2 linked regions of the Pelodiscus sinensis genome follow. The protein of the gene in region 2 interacts with the protein of the main gene of each other region in a pairwise test. Links are inferred from orthologs where the notes say so. Each region holds a gene or a part of one and is shown on either strand. Other genes may lie near its edges.

Region 1 (6,849 bases), on a different chromosome or scaffold from region 2:
AACACCCCTTCTTGTCCCTTATTCTACTGAAGAAGCAACACACAGCAAGTTAAATGGGATTTGCAGGAATCTTTAACCGTGTATAGGTCTTAGTATGAACCAGAAGGGAAACACTGCAATTGGCACATTCAGTTGTTTTTGTTGGTTCCCCCCTCTTAAAGGTCATTACACCTACAAATGGGAGTGCAGATAACTCAGCCCTAACTGCATCTTATTTGATGGACCATTTCAGTCGTGATTTTTTCTCCAACATGATATTTTAGAAGGGCTAGATTTATGGCAGATTTATTCTTTCCCTCCCCTTCCTACTCCCACACACTTTGGATCAAACAGTACTTTGCTGGCAAATCTTATGTCAGTGACAGCTTTGCAACGACATGTTGCTCTATGGCACTGATGAAGTTATGTCAAGACGCCTACTAATAATGTCTGGTCAGGGATTTGTTTCCAGCATTAGACTTTTACTCTCATGTTAAAAACTGGCAAGTGCAATAAAACTTCTGCAAGAAAACTTAAATTTGCTTTGGAGAAAGGTGGGGGGGGGGGATTTTTTTTTTTTTTAAACAAGTGCCATAGCTCTAAATTAAACAAAAAACAGGACTATGTAGCACTTTAAAGACTAGCAAGATGGTTTATTAGGTGATGAGCTTTCGTGGGCCAGACCCACTTCCTCAGATCAAATAGTGGAAGAAAATTTTCCTAAATTTTCTTCCACTATTTGATTTGAGGAAGTGGGTCTGGCCCACAAAAGCTGCTCACCTAATAAACCATCTTGCTAGTCTTTAAAGTGCTACATAGTCCTGTTTTTTGTTTCAGCTAGACCAGACTAACAGGGCTACATTTCTATCATCATAGCTCTAAATGCATCGCTCTCTTTATATGTGACCTAAAGAAGTGCCAGTAAGACTCTCCTGTAGCTCTGAAAGCACTAAAGGGACATCTACACTGAAATTAAAAACCAGCAATTGGCCTGTGTCAACTGACTTGGGTATGCAGGGCTTGGGCTAAGGGGCTGTTAAAGTGCTTGCAGACATACTCTGTGTGAAGGTGTTTAGCTAGCAGATCTTTCAGCTTTTAAAAAAGCCCGTTCACATCTTTTTTGCAGACACTTACCCATCCTTATCATCATACAGGTCTCTCAGATTGCCACTCACTTCCATATATCTCTAAAAAACAAAAAAACATGTTACAGTTATGCATATACTTTTGCTGCACTTCAGCACAACATGCAGAGTTAGGAAAAATAAGCTGCTTTCTTGGAAGCTTGCAAAAGCTTGCTTACATTTGAAATAACAATCCCACAAACTTGAGCTAAACAGACAAAGAAATGAAAGGCTGCTCAGTGAAAGGTAATGAAACATTATAGGGAAATTTAGCAGCTGAAAGTATTTTCAGGGAAATACAATATCTCGCTACCCAAGTCATTTCATGATCTTCTGTGGAGTTTTGCTGTTTAATAAATTAGCTGCAATGAAAATAATACAGCTGATTTAAAATATAGCTAAATGTTTTTAATGCTAAAACTGATGAGTTAGGGTGCAGGATGGAATTACTTATGTTCCATGTGCCCAGGTTCTGGTAAAAGGTAATGCAGATGCATCAAGCATTGTGCAAAATAAATCCTATAACTTCAGTATCAAGTATCTCTGCAGAATAAATATTGGTATAAATATGAAAACACTTTAAAAATTTGCAGATAGAACCAAATCTAGGCAAACTCAGCTCATGAACTTTATGGTAAGCAAAACTCCAGTAAATACTGTTATCAGCTTGCATATGTCTATCAGTTACTATGCCGCACACAAAACCATTTTTTTTTAACCTTGCACCCTGCAATCTTAATGTGTTATACCAGCAATTCTCAAACTGTGGGCCAGGACCCCAAAGTGGGTTCCAACCCTATTTTAATGGGATTGCAAGGACTCGCTTAGACTCACTGGGGCCCAGGGCCAAAGCTCAAACCCCACTGCCCGAAGCTAAAGCCAAAGACCAAGAATTTCAGCTCAGGTGGCAGGGCTCAAGTTACAGGCCCCATGCCTGGGACAAAAGCTCTTGGCTTCGGGCTTTGCCTCAACATCATGGCGGTGGGGTTTTGGCCCCACTCCCACCTGGGATGGTGCGGCTTGGACAGGCTCAGGTTTTGGTCTCTCTCCTAGGGTGGTATAGTATCTTCTGCTGTCAGAAAGAGGTTGCAGAGCAATGAAGTTTGAGAACCCCTGTGCTACACACATCCAGAAATACAGTTTGCGATGTATCGCTTAAGTAACTCACTACACCGAAACAGCCTGTGCTCCAGCCCATAATCTTTAGGGAACAAGGCGCGAGGGAAAGAGAAGAGGCGATACTCACGTCCTGCATCGCTCGGGTGCGATGATCAGAGTTAATCTGGTCCCGTAACTATAAGACAGATCAGAAAAAAAAGATTAGCCACGCTTTCCCCAACTCCAAATCTGGGAAAGTTCAGCAAAGAACAGTCTTCATCTGCCCCAGTCAGCTAGGGGTATGCGAGGAGTCGCTCACTGGGACAAAGGCTGCTGGTGGGTCATTGGCATCGCACTGCACTTGCACCGCGCTCTGACGGGAGGCGGCTTCACTGAGGTGGGGGAATTATGAGGGGGGCCACCCCTGGGACAGAGACGGGTGAACGGGGGCCCACGTCAGGGAGCCAGGGGCCCATGGGCCAGGAAGCTGCGCTGTGGGGGGCTGTCTGGTGCCCGGCTCGCCCCAGGACAGTCACTGCCCCGCACCCAGCCCTGCTGGGGGCCCCTCCGGGAGGGGAGGGCTGAGGCCGGCCCGACACGCGGGCGGAAGAGCAGGGCCCCTCCCCCCCGCACCGTGGATTTCTTAATCAGCATCTCCTTGGCCATCACGTCCATGAGCCGCTCCCGCTCCTCATGGTAGCGCCGCTGCTGCTCCAGGATCGTCTCCATCTTCCCCGCGCGCCAGCCGGAACCCTCCCTGCGGTGCGCCTCTGTCCCCGGCCCGACCGGAAACCCTCCCTCCGGTGCGCTCCCCTGTCACCAACCCGACCGGAAACCCTCCCTCCGGTGCTCCCCTGTCACCAACCCGACCGGAAACCCTCCCTCCGGTGCGCTCCCCTGTCACCAACCCGACCGGAAACCCTCCCTCCGGTGCGCTCCCCTGTCACCAACCCGACCGGAAACCCTCCCTCCGGTGCGCTTCTGTCCCCCGCCCGACCGGAAACCCTCCCTGCGGTGCTCCCCTGTCACCAACCCGACCGGAAACCCTCCCTCCGGTGCGCTCCCCTGTCACCAACCCGACCGGAAACCCTCCCTCCGGTGCGCTCCCCTGTCACCAACCCGACCGGAAACCCTCCCTCCGGTGCTCCCCTGTCACCAACCCGACCGGAAACCCTCCCTCCGGTGCGCTCCCCTGTCACCAACCCGACCGGAAACCCTCCCTCCGGTGCGCCTCTGTCCCCGGCCCGACCGGAAACCCTCCCTCCGGTGCGCCTCTGTCCCCGGCCCGACCGGAAACCCTCCCTCCGGTGCGCCTCTGTCCCCGGCCCGACCGGAAACCCTCCCTCGGGATGCGCCCCCCGTTGGACACTGACAGCAGAGTTCCGTGTGTTCCGTGTGCGTGTGTCCCTGCAGTGTGTGTGTGCATGTGCCCCCCGTGGGTGTGCATCCTTTGCATGTAGACACGTGTCCTATATGTCCTGTGTGCGCACATGCACGTGTAACGCCAAGAGGCAGAACCGAACCGGGGTCCTCTCTGCAGCTTAGTGCAAGAGCCTCTGTCCACAGCTTGAGCTAAAACCCAGTTGGCCTCAGATTCGGCTGTAGAACACGATCGCATAATTCTCTCTGTAAGCGGTCTCAGTGCCTTGTCGGACAGTGAACCCCCCCCCGTAGGTGTGGGGGGCTACATGTGCATATGCCTCTGTGTGTGTCCTTTGCATGGGTTGAATACCAGCTGTGTGTGCACGTATGTAAGTGCCACTAAGTGCCACCGAGCAGATTTAAATCTGGGACCTCTGGAGGTCACTATAAGAGTCTCTCACAGCTTGAGCTACGAAGCCAGCTGCCACTCAGCTTAGGCTGTAGAGCTCCCTTGTTCTTATCTCTGGCTGTAAGTGGTCTAAGTGCCACTACATAAGACAGTGAACCACATGAGATGGGTGGGTTACATACTTCCCCCCTAGCTGAGGAAGTGCATTCTGAGCTTGAGACCCAGTTGAAATTGCTGACAAGTGCCCACTGATAACCACCACGGGCCAGATTTGAACCTGAGCTCTTTGGAGTTTAGTATAGACCCTCTACAGCTTGAGCTATAAAGCCATCTACCACTTAGCTGTGGCTGTAGAGCTCCCTTGTTCTTATATCTAGCTGTAAGTGGTCTAAATGCCACTACATGGGACAGTGAACTTCACGAGGTGTGTGGGTTACATTCAGTCTATGTGAGTGCCCTGTGCACCTTATGCGTGGGTGCACATATGCCTGTGATCATTGTGCACTGTGTGTGTGTGTGAGACAGCTGCCATTGTCACCACTGTTGACAGCACAGGCCTAGCCCAGCCCCTTACTCCAAGCTGGAACCCCCTACCTACAAGTAGCATTGCCTGCTCTTCTAATTTCTTTGTGCATGTGCTGATAGTTGCAGGGTCAGTAAAACATTGTGTACATAGCCATCTCTGTCCTTGAAAATAAAGACGCTTCTAGCCCTCACCACTTCGCAGACAACATAACCTGAGCCTGGCCTGCAGGCTTAGAAATCAGAAAATAAATAAATATGTCCGCCCTTCACACACACCGAGTGTTTGCTTTAAATCTCATGATGTTTCAGCCAATCTCATGATTATTTGGCTCTGGCCCTTGACTCATGACTTTTGAGCACTTGGAGTTCACGGTGCAGTAAAAGGGAGGGGCTGTGGGCACAGCATTTGGGGTGCTCTGGCCTTCTTCCTCTCCTCTCTAGATCTGACCTGTGAAGAACAGCACAAAGAAAGCCTTTGAGTGCACTGCAAAGCCCGCTGCCTGATCAACAAGCATTGATGGAAAGCCCAAAGTGCCATTTTCATGGGTCGATAGTGCACATGAGGCGAGGGGGTATTAATTACATGACTGTTCTATGGATGACAATTCAGGCATGGGATAGGTCAGATAAGGCCTTGAAAGTAAAGACAGGTAGTTTGCACTTAATGCAGTGAAAGAAAGGTAAATGAGGGGAGGCTGAACAGAGGTACAAGACAGCACAGCGAGCCAGGAAAATGATCTATGCCAGAGGTAGCACATTGTAGGTGCACTGCCCGCTATGCCCCCACCAACATTTTAATTGCTAAATGGGGTGCCCCCATATGCCTCCTACCCATCAGAGTGGCCCTCATACCCCCTTCCCCCACAGGCACTAATTGCCCCTGATCTTTGCAGCAGCATTGAATGAAAACTTGACTAATGTCACCGAAAACCCTTCCGGTTCTACTCCTCAATACTAAGCACTGCTTTCCTGGCTGCAGAAGCAGGAAGTTGCCTGTTTGCCATGGAGACATAACTAGTAGGGCAGACCCACGCTCTGGTCTCTCCCAGCCCATTCACGGGAAGGTGAGCGTTGTAAGCTCTTGAGCTGTGGGAGCCCCGGGACAAAACAAGGGCTGGCTTGTGGCTTGTGTCCAGCAGATGGCAGGCTTTCGCTTTTCTGGAGAGCAGCTTGTGCACTCTCTCTCCCCTGAAGGTGGAACTAGCTGCTGCTCTCATCAGATGCGGTTTGGTTCTCTTGGCGTGATGGCAGCATTGGCCCCCTGTATCTGATTTAGAGCTGGTGCCTGCACAGCTCAGACCCGTGAACGGCTTTACATTCCCCCCTCTCCCGTGAGGAAGCGTGGGATCATTAGCCACCTCACACAGCTGGGGAGGTGAAGGCAGGGCAGTGACTTTGCCAAGGGCCACACGAGAAGTCTGTGGCGGAGCTGGGAGGTCAGGCCTGTGCCTTATTTGCAGCATTAGGCTCTGCCTCCCAGAAGTCACCGGTCTGATTCTTTTCCATAGCAGTGACCACTTGGTAGGTGCTGCTGTGGGGCTATCGGGCCCTGGAACTGGAGAATCTCTCACAGGAATCCTCTTCTGCATGGTGATACCCGAGATGGAGGCTTTTGCTCCCAGAAACTGCATTGTCAGTGCCCTAGCAAGACATCAATCCCATCTGGTCATTGCCCTGGGGCACCCAGACTCTACCCACCTCCTAGCCAGCTTAGTGGGATGAGCTCATCCTACGGCATGGGTAGAGGCCCGGTAGCAAGGGGGGGTTAGAAGGGGGGTTGACCTGCCAAGTGTCCCATTGGCGAGAAAACTGTGAATTTCTGCCAGGAAAAGCCCTGAATTCCAAAGAAAACGTCTTTTGTTTTGGCTGCTCAGAGCCGCTGCCCTCAAACCTTCAATTTGTTGTTCCCCTTCATTTATGGCCAGGCTTTCCCCTTCAACCATTCCCGTGGTGCAGCTGGGAGCTAACCACCATGGCGTAGTGACTCATCTGGGGCCCTCGGTGTTACGGAGCGCCAAAGGTGCCGCATCGCTGGGAGGGCCTGGCCTGGTGACCGAGCAGGCGAGTACCAGTCAGAGCCGACCTAGAACGAAGTGTGTGGCCCTCTGCCGCTGTCTCAGACATGGAAAAGCGTTACCTTGTGACAGACACATGTCAGATTCTCCTGACGTGCAGCGGGGTGGGGGGGAGTGGAGCCCCTGAATCATTTTATGGGGCCACTTGGCACCTTACCTTAAATTTTGCTCAACTCTTTGCAGTCACTTGGAAACCTCTATGTAAGGAGAACTAGCCAGGCTCAGTTTGAAACATGCCCTGGGGTGGGGGAGGGAGAAGAGGTGGGAACAGCTCTGC
Region 2 (7,253 bases):
CCGTAGCGAGCGCCGCCCCAGGAAACGGCACAGGGAGGGTTTTACATGTGGGTAAGTGCAACACGGGGCAGGTTGTTCCCCAGATGCTGCAAGAGGGTGGCAGCCAGAGGCAGGTGCTGTCCGGGTGTGATTCCAAAGCAGACCGGTGGTGTGCAGAGAGGGGCCTGGAGTACAGGGGAGGTTTCTCAGAGGAGGTCAGTTAGTTGGGGGGGGGGGGGGGGGGGGGCAGTAGAATGACAGTTACTTAGCTCTCTCCCCGCAGGGAAAGGTTCTAGAGAACAGGACCAGCAAGAGGAGGGTTCCCCCAGCCAGGTTTTCCCAGGATGGCCCCTTGCCCAGCAGAGCTGTCCTGGATGAAAGCGTTCCAATTGCTTAGGTTTCTGTAGCCCAGAGGCAACAACTCTCAGCACTAGCCCACACTGCCCAACACTTCATGTGGTTAGCCTGGGATGGGTCCTATCTCCCTGGCAGAGGGAAACTGACAAGGAAGCTAGCCCCATACTCACCCCACAGCAGCAACTCCTAGCCCAAGGAGTTGGCAGGCTCAGCTCTCCACCCTGGACATTGTGACCCGGCCTAGCTACCACGCAGGTTACAGCTCTGGACCACTGCCCCCATACACCAGGTCACAATGGCACTCAAATGTAGCCGAGGGCACACACCTGCAGGCCAGACCAAAGCTGACCACCCACTGCGACCTTGTGCGAAAGGGTCCCTTTGCAGTGCTGGAGGGGAGTCAAGCCCTATGGGGCAGCAGCCCTCAAGGACAGGAGGGTCGGAGGAAAGGTCAAAGAAGGAGAATTTTGCTGAATCTGGGACTCCTCCTGGGAGCTCTGCTAGTCAGTGGAGAAAGCAAATGGGTAGATACAATCTTAGGGCATGTCTACACAGCAGGGCAAAAGTCAAATTAAGCTACGCAACTTCAGCTACATCAATCCCATAGCTGAAGTGGAAACAGCTTCATTTGGATTTCAGCATGCTCTACACAACAAGAAGTCAAAGAACACTCTCCCTTCAACATCCCTTACTCCTCATGAGATGAGGGTTACAAGTGTTGGAGTAAAAACTCCTCCAGCTTGACATTATGTCCAAGTAACAGCTTGCTGTGTAGATGCGCTTTATTTTAGAACATCCACTATTCTGAAATAACACTGCAGTACAAACATACCCCAAGCGTGCTGTGCAAACATTAGCTGCTTGGTGCAAGTCCATGAGGTCACAGGAACCTAGGGAGAATAGGTAGGTTGTAGCAATAGAGTCAGGCAGTGGTAATAATGTAATGATACTTACTACTTGCATAATAAAGGTTAAAGGTGAACTTCCAGTACATAATTAATAACAATGCAGTGGATTTTTTGTTTCACCTTCCAAAGCATAGAGTTTTAGTAAAGACCTAGTAGCTCCCTCGTTTTTGCTACCCACACAGTGCCACCTTCCACTCATGAGTAACAATGCAGGAAAGGGATTGGAAACTGTCTAGTAAAGCAAGTTATTACTCTCATTCTGTTCTACTTTTCCAACTGCCTAAAATAGCAAGGATGAATAATTTGATACCCTTGTGTTTTAAACTACAGATAAATTCCAAGGCAACTAGAATATGCCAGCTTGTCTTGATTCCTGTGTTTTTAGAAAAGGAGGTATTACACAGCCTGCGGTTAAAGCTGTGTAATTAGAGAACCTCTGAGCAAACCCTGTATTTCAGCACAGAACCTTGGGGGGGGGGGGGGGGGGGGGGAAGAAAGATAAGAAGTTGCCTATGAATCCTGGGCTCCAACCTGGCCTCCAAGTAGTTCTATATTGGACACTTGCTCTTTAAGACACTTCCATAATCATAACAGGTACAGTTCACCCAGTGATTTCCCCTTCAAGCCAAGAGTTCTGGTGGAGCTAGAACTTCTGTTTGTGCACCATTCCTTTCAGCTTGTTTCTTGACATACCTGAACTCCAGAGAACAATTCAGAAGTGGATTCCAGTCAAGTTTTTGCTGCCAACTGCTCTGTCAATTTCAGGTGAAAGGAACCTTGGATCATCCTGCCTTTCTACAGCACAAGTACACTTGTGAGAACACCTAAGTTGGCAGGTAACTTGCAAAGGAGCAGGATCTCTTCAAGCAAGAGGCAGTTTTGTGAAACTTGAATGAAACTTAGAGAAACTGAACTTCACCCATCTAGTTTCATTTTTCCCAGCTGTTTAAATATTTTGCTATTTTGAAAGACCAAATCAGTACAGACCTTAATGTAAGCTTATGCATGGAAGCTTGTCATTTCAGATTCTTTTTTAATTAAATGCTAAAGGAGTTGTGTTCTTCACCCAGCAAGGCTCAAAGTGCCAGAAAAGTCTACAAGCAATTCTTCCCCTCCCAAGAAGGGGTTTTCCAGGCTGCACAGTTCCTTCCTCAGCAAGACAGACTATTTCAAAAAAGTTGGTGCTGGTGCTTGCGCTCTCCTCAGGTGATCAAGTAGTTACATGTCCAGTGAAGTTACCACAGCACATTCTAAGCAAGCACATTTAGTCTTAAGGTATGAGCACTACAGAACAAATAAAAGAACCTACATGTATGGTAGGAAAACTGGAGATCCACCCTACCTTGCTGTGTCCCCCCACCCCCCACAAGGCTTCAGTTGCAGTCCCTCCCAGCTGAGGCTATTATGAACCTTAACCCAGATCACCCTGTTTTGCACAGCTTGGGTCTGAGGTCCAGCCTTCAGGGTCAGATAATCCAGGGACAATGGTACCCCCTCCTCAGGGCATAAAGTCAATGTTTTTTTTTTTTAAGCCCAACCTTCAGATGGCATTTCCATTCACCCCCCAGGAATTCCACTTCACACACACTGACTTCAGAGACCATTCTTGTCTATCACTTCATTCAGTGTGGTTCATCGGTCAAACAGAGCATTTGCCTTCAAACACAGTTGGTTCAGAGGGAAAAGCAAAGGATTTGTACTTTGAGCAGAGCTACACAGGACTTGAAGGGAAGTCTCAGAACTCACTGAGTATATGGATTAGGAACAAAACTGCCTACTTTTACCTTTACCAGCAAGGGGAAACAGATTTGAGCAGTCCCGCTTACAGCAAGGCCATTAATAGATACTCCACACCCCCTGCTGTACTCAATGTGAGGCAAGAAATGCCCTCTCCATTTTCAGAAACCACAACTTCCACAGGATTGATTGTTTTAAAATATATTTAAGTATCATTAAAGTATCATTATATACAATTAAGAACCATACAAAGCGTTACACTCTTCAATTAGCAGAACAGATCCATCTAGGACTAGGTTGTCCACAAAATTTAGACTTAACGCAATAAATCAGTGTATGCAACTGGCAATAGTTTTATTGATTGGCATTTGTAAAAAGGAATGCTGTAGCCAAGAGTTCTTGAAAGTGTCATTATTGCCCCCCCAAATGCCTCTGGCAACATGCTGCACCCAGACCCTGGTAGACCTCAATACTCCATAACTGGCTAGGACTGTTGCTGCCTCCAGGGACCTTGTTAGGGCTCTTATATTCTGACGCTACAGGAAAGACAAAAATCTTCCAATTTTGCAATTCAAATTCTTGATTAATATCATGAGCACACCATGGGCGGATTACAAGACCCATGGATCTTGCTTAAGGCTGAGCCACATTTACAATTTCCTTTATAACTGCCAGTTTAAAGTGGCTGCAGCACAGCTGCCAGACTGCCCAACACAAGATTGGTTTATATGTGTAAATACTATGATTCTATAGCATGTCCATCAGATAACACAAAGGTTCCCTCCCCTTCCCCCCTCCCCCCAGCAGAAAGCACTGAGAATGTGGGTGCAAGGCCAGCTCATGAGTCTGAGCTTCAGACCCACATCTAACATTTCACACTAAAGTTTTTAACTCCACATCTCACTCCCAGACAAATCATCATAAAGCTAAAACATTCAGCTCCAGTACAAAGTGAGAGTGGGGTGTGAAGAGCACGCAGGAAAACAGATCGGGTGTAAGCGCTTTTCATATTGCAAGGCAGAGTTCCTCAGACCTGAAAAGGAGGAGGGGCAGGGAAGATTATTAATTTAAAAAATGCCTATTCTTTATTGTAACATAAGCTAAGGGAGAACCTGGCTCCAAGATCCCAGCCGCAAACCAGTGCAAATCCCAGCAGCTCTAGGCTTTAGATCCCAAGGGCAGCTGCACCTGCAAAGGGTTATTCTATTCTATGCCAAAGCTTTTGAAATAGTTCAAGCACCACAACGGAAGCTTCACCCCTTACCTGCTCACTGGGTGCACTGCATTTGCTGGTGCTGCACATAAAGCCATTTGTAGCCATTTACTAACACTAAGTTGCTTCAGCACTGCCAGGCAAGAGACTGCCTGCAGACACACAAAGGATGCCTTACAGTGACTTCTGTCCCTCTAACCCTAATACACTATTAGCCAGCCTCTCAGGAGGCACAGCTAGACCATAAAGACTGCCAAATGGCAAATCCACCTCTCCACATCCACCAAGAAAAAACACCAGGCAGTCTGGTGACTGTACAATGAACCCTTCTTCCCAAGGGTCAAGTGAAGTCATAAGCTTTATGAAAAGTCTCCATAAGGGCATGATATTGTTACAAGTGCTAAGAAATGGAATAATAGGCCACCCACAATTCTAAACTACCACTTAAGCTACAGATAGAGCTGCCTGTTCCTCCTCTCTACCTTTCTGCCTCAGTGTGGCGCAAGTTTTCTTTCTATCCCTGAACTTCAGCTCACGTATCAGTCCAGTGCCAAAATCAGTTGGAGAGCAACAAATTAAATATGCAAAACTTACCATATACGTCTAAGATGCAGGTTAATTATCAGGGTCTGCAAGAGAGGACAAAGGATGTTAAGAGTCCACTTCTAAGACAAGGCTGTGCTGCACAAATAGCACTCCTACCAATCATAACTATTCTAATGCAGCGCTGGGAGAGGTCTTATCACTCCAGCAGCCAGACGGAGAAATAAAGAAAGAAAGGATTCCCACACCAGGAAAGTAAGGAAAAGGTAGCAATCAATGGTCTTCAGCTGGCCTTTGAAACTGCCTTCCTACCCAGGAGGATACAGAAGTGGCTGTTAGACCCAAGCCAGCAAAAGACCAACTCTGGCTTGTGAAGAATTGCATCTGAGATAAAGAGGGTGAAAATTATGATCTGCAATGACCTCTTTGTGTATTAGGGTTAGCTGGCATGTTCTGCTTATTTTAGCTTAGTGACATATTTTGATCTGTCTGTTTTCACTTGCAACCACTTAATTCCTACTTTTTATACTTGGTAAAAAAAGTGTTTATCATCAAGCCCAGTGTAAACTTGTCAGAGGAGGGGGGAGCCAGAGATATGCATCTCATTCACTGATAAGGCTCCTTGTGTAAAGCTTCTACAGAGTAAGCAGATTTATTTGGGGGTTTAAGTACCATCTGAGTGCTGTGCTCCTGGATGCTGCCAAAGTGCTATAGGTGAGCTGGTTCAGTGACTATACTGCTCTCCACAGGGACTGTTACCCCAACTCTGTGCCTTGGCTTGGGGAGACCAAAGCTTCTGGTAAAGCCATACAGGGGCTTGGGGTCCCATAGAGGGCAGGTAGGCAGGCTCAGTGGTATGATCAGCATATTGGGCGGCAGACTCAAGGGGACTTTTGTGATTCGACCCATCACAGACAGGAGAGGCTCTGTTGCTCACATAGCTAATGCTGCTCACCGTGGGTCGTTTAGTTTTGTTAGCAGGACAGCGCCTACATGGGAAACCCTACAGCGGCACTACTGTACCTCTACAGACCTGGCAGCAGCACCTCCAATAATTCTACAAGTTACTCTCATTTCCTCCACTGCTACTTGATGTTCCAATATATTGTATTAAATGTACACATTCTCTTTAGCAGTTAGAGACTGTTCCACTGGAGCCCGGTGGCCAAAGGTGCCCAGAGACGAGACTTGGGGAACGCACCCTATTACATTACATTTTAAAACGACGGGGGAGGGGGACACTAGGGATGTCAATGTGTAGTTGACTATACGATTAACCGATAAGCACTGTCAACTACATTCACCCCTTCCCTGTACCCGGGGGACGGGGGAGGCAGGAGCCAGTGCCCTCAGGGAGCTGGTTTCAATAAAGCGCCACACAACCACTGGACTCTCCTGCCTGCCCCTCCCCTCCGCGCAGTTGCCTCTGATTGAGAGGTAGCAGTACTGAGGGTGAGGTAAGCAGGCTGGAGCCATTCGCCCAGGGAGCCAGCTTTCAAGCAGGCTCTCCATAACTGCTGGCTCAGCAGTCTCACCTGCCACCTTGTGCTGTTTTCTGATACAGAAGGAGCAGCCGCCAGATGACAAGCACACTGGCTGCCAGCCCCACCCCCAGCAACCATCAATAGTTGTGTAACCCCTAAGATTTCATGCAGTTACACGGCTGTTCAATTGCACGATCTCCAACAACCCTAGGATACACCAGATTTGTGACTAAACAGACTACCTGCTTTCTCTGACAAGTGTAGGACTGGACTATCCCTAGGGGTGTGTGGTCACTGGGACTGCCACCCCCTCCACCCAGGCCCCACCTTTTCCCATGCAGGTCCTGCCCCCACCCACTGCACCCCTTACTCAGGCGAGAGAGCTTGGGGTGATAGCCAGATGGTGGGGGGGGGGAGAAGAGAGGGGCTAGCACCAGCAGCAGGGGTCACCCGCTCCCCCAGCACTCAAGCCAGTGGCAGGAAGCAGAGTGACCTGGCCCCAGCCCGCTCCAGTGTGCTCCTTCAGCCTAGCTCCCAGCCCTGCAGCTTGGGGAGCAGAGAAGGTTACTGCCACTTCCCGTTGCCGTGAAGAAGCATGACTTGGCTGCCCTGGACCCTGAAGGGCTCCCTAAAGCCCAACCCACCTAAACCATACAATGAACAGGACAGTTTGGCTGCAGGATCTCAGGAGCAAGAGAATCCAAATCCCATGTGCAATTCCTGACAGAGGATGTGAACAAAATAGATACAGTGAAATACTCACCCCATCTGACTTTCTTAGGAGTCTGAAGAGCGGAATGCTCCACATGGCATTCATATCTATCATTCCCATTAGGAGTGAATGGGACATGCACCAAGCGCTGGAAAGTCCAGTCGTCATTGAAGGAAAGGTCGGACATTTCCACTCCATCCATCTCCTTGTCATTCTTCAGCAGCTTGATGTGAATGTTGGGAGGGTGGAATCCTTCCACGTAGCAGTTCAGGACATTTGACTTGCCATTCTCGGCTGGGTGGCGGGAGTACACATGGACT

Evidence for each region.
Region 1: the proteins of TRIM69 (region 2) and SF3A3 interact in binary tests that used the Homo sapiens proteins (3 or more experiments, as listed by UniProt). The two-hybrid records come from large-scale screens. The link is inferred for Pelodiscus sinensis from reciprocal best matches to the Homo sapiens genes TRIM69 and SF3A3.

What each region holds. Positions count from the first base shown.
Region 1 is NC_134735.1:10,736,956-10,743,804, forward strand, and holds the start of SF3A3 (splicing factor 3A subunit 3), read right to left. Parts: upstream 3,005-6,849; 5' UTR 2,995-3,004; intron 2,955-2,994; 5' UTR 2,931-2,954; coding exon 2,835-2,930; intron 2,398-2,834; coding exon 2,350-2,397; intron 1,167-2,349; coding exon 1,114-1,166; intron 1-1,113. UniProt on the Homo sapiens protein: Component of the 17S U2 SnRNP complex of the spliceosome, a large ribonucleoprotein complex that removes introns from transcribed pre-mRNAs.
Region 2 is NC_134724.1:36,833,799-36,841,051, reverse strand, and holds the start of TRIM69 (E3 ubiquitin-protein ligase TRIM69), read right to left. Parts: upstream 3,023-7,253; 5' UTR 507-3,022; intron 1-506. Other genes in the region: B2M (beta-2-microglobulin), read right to left, coding at 4,810-4,823, 6,985-7,253.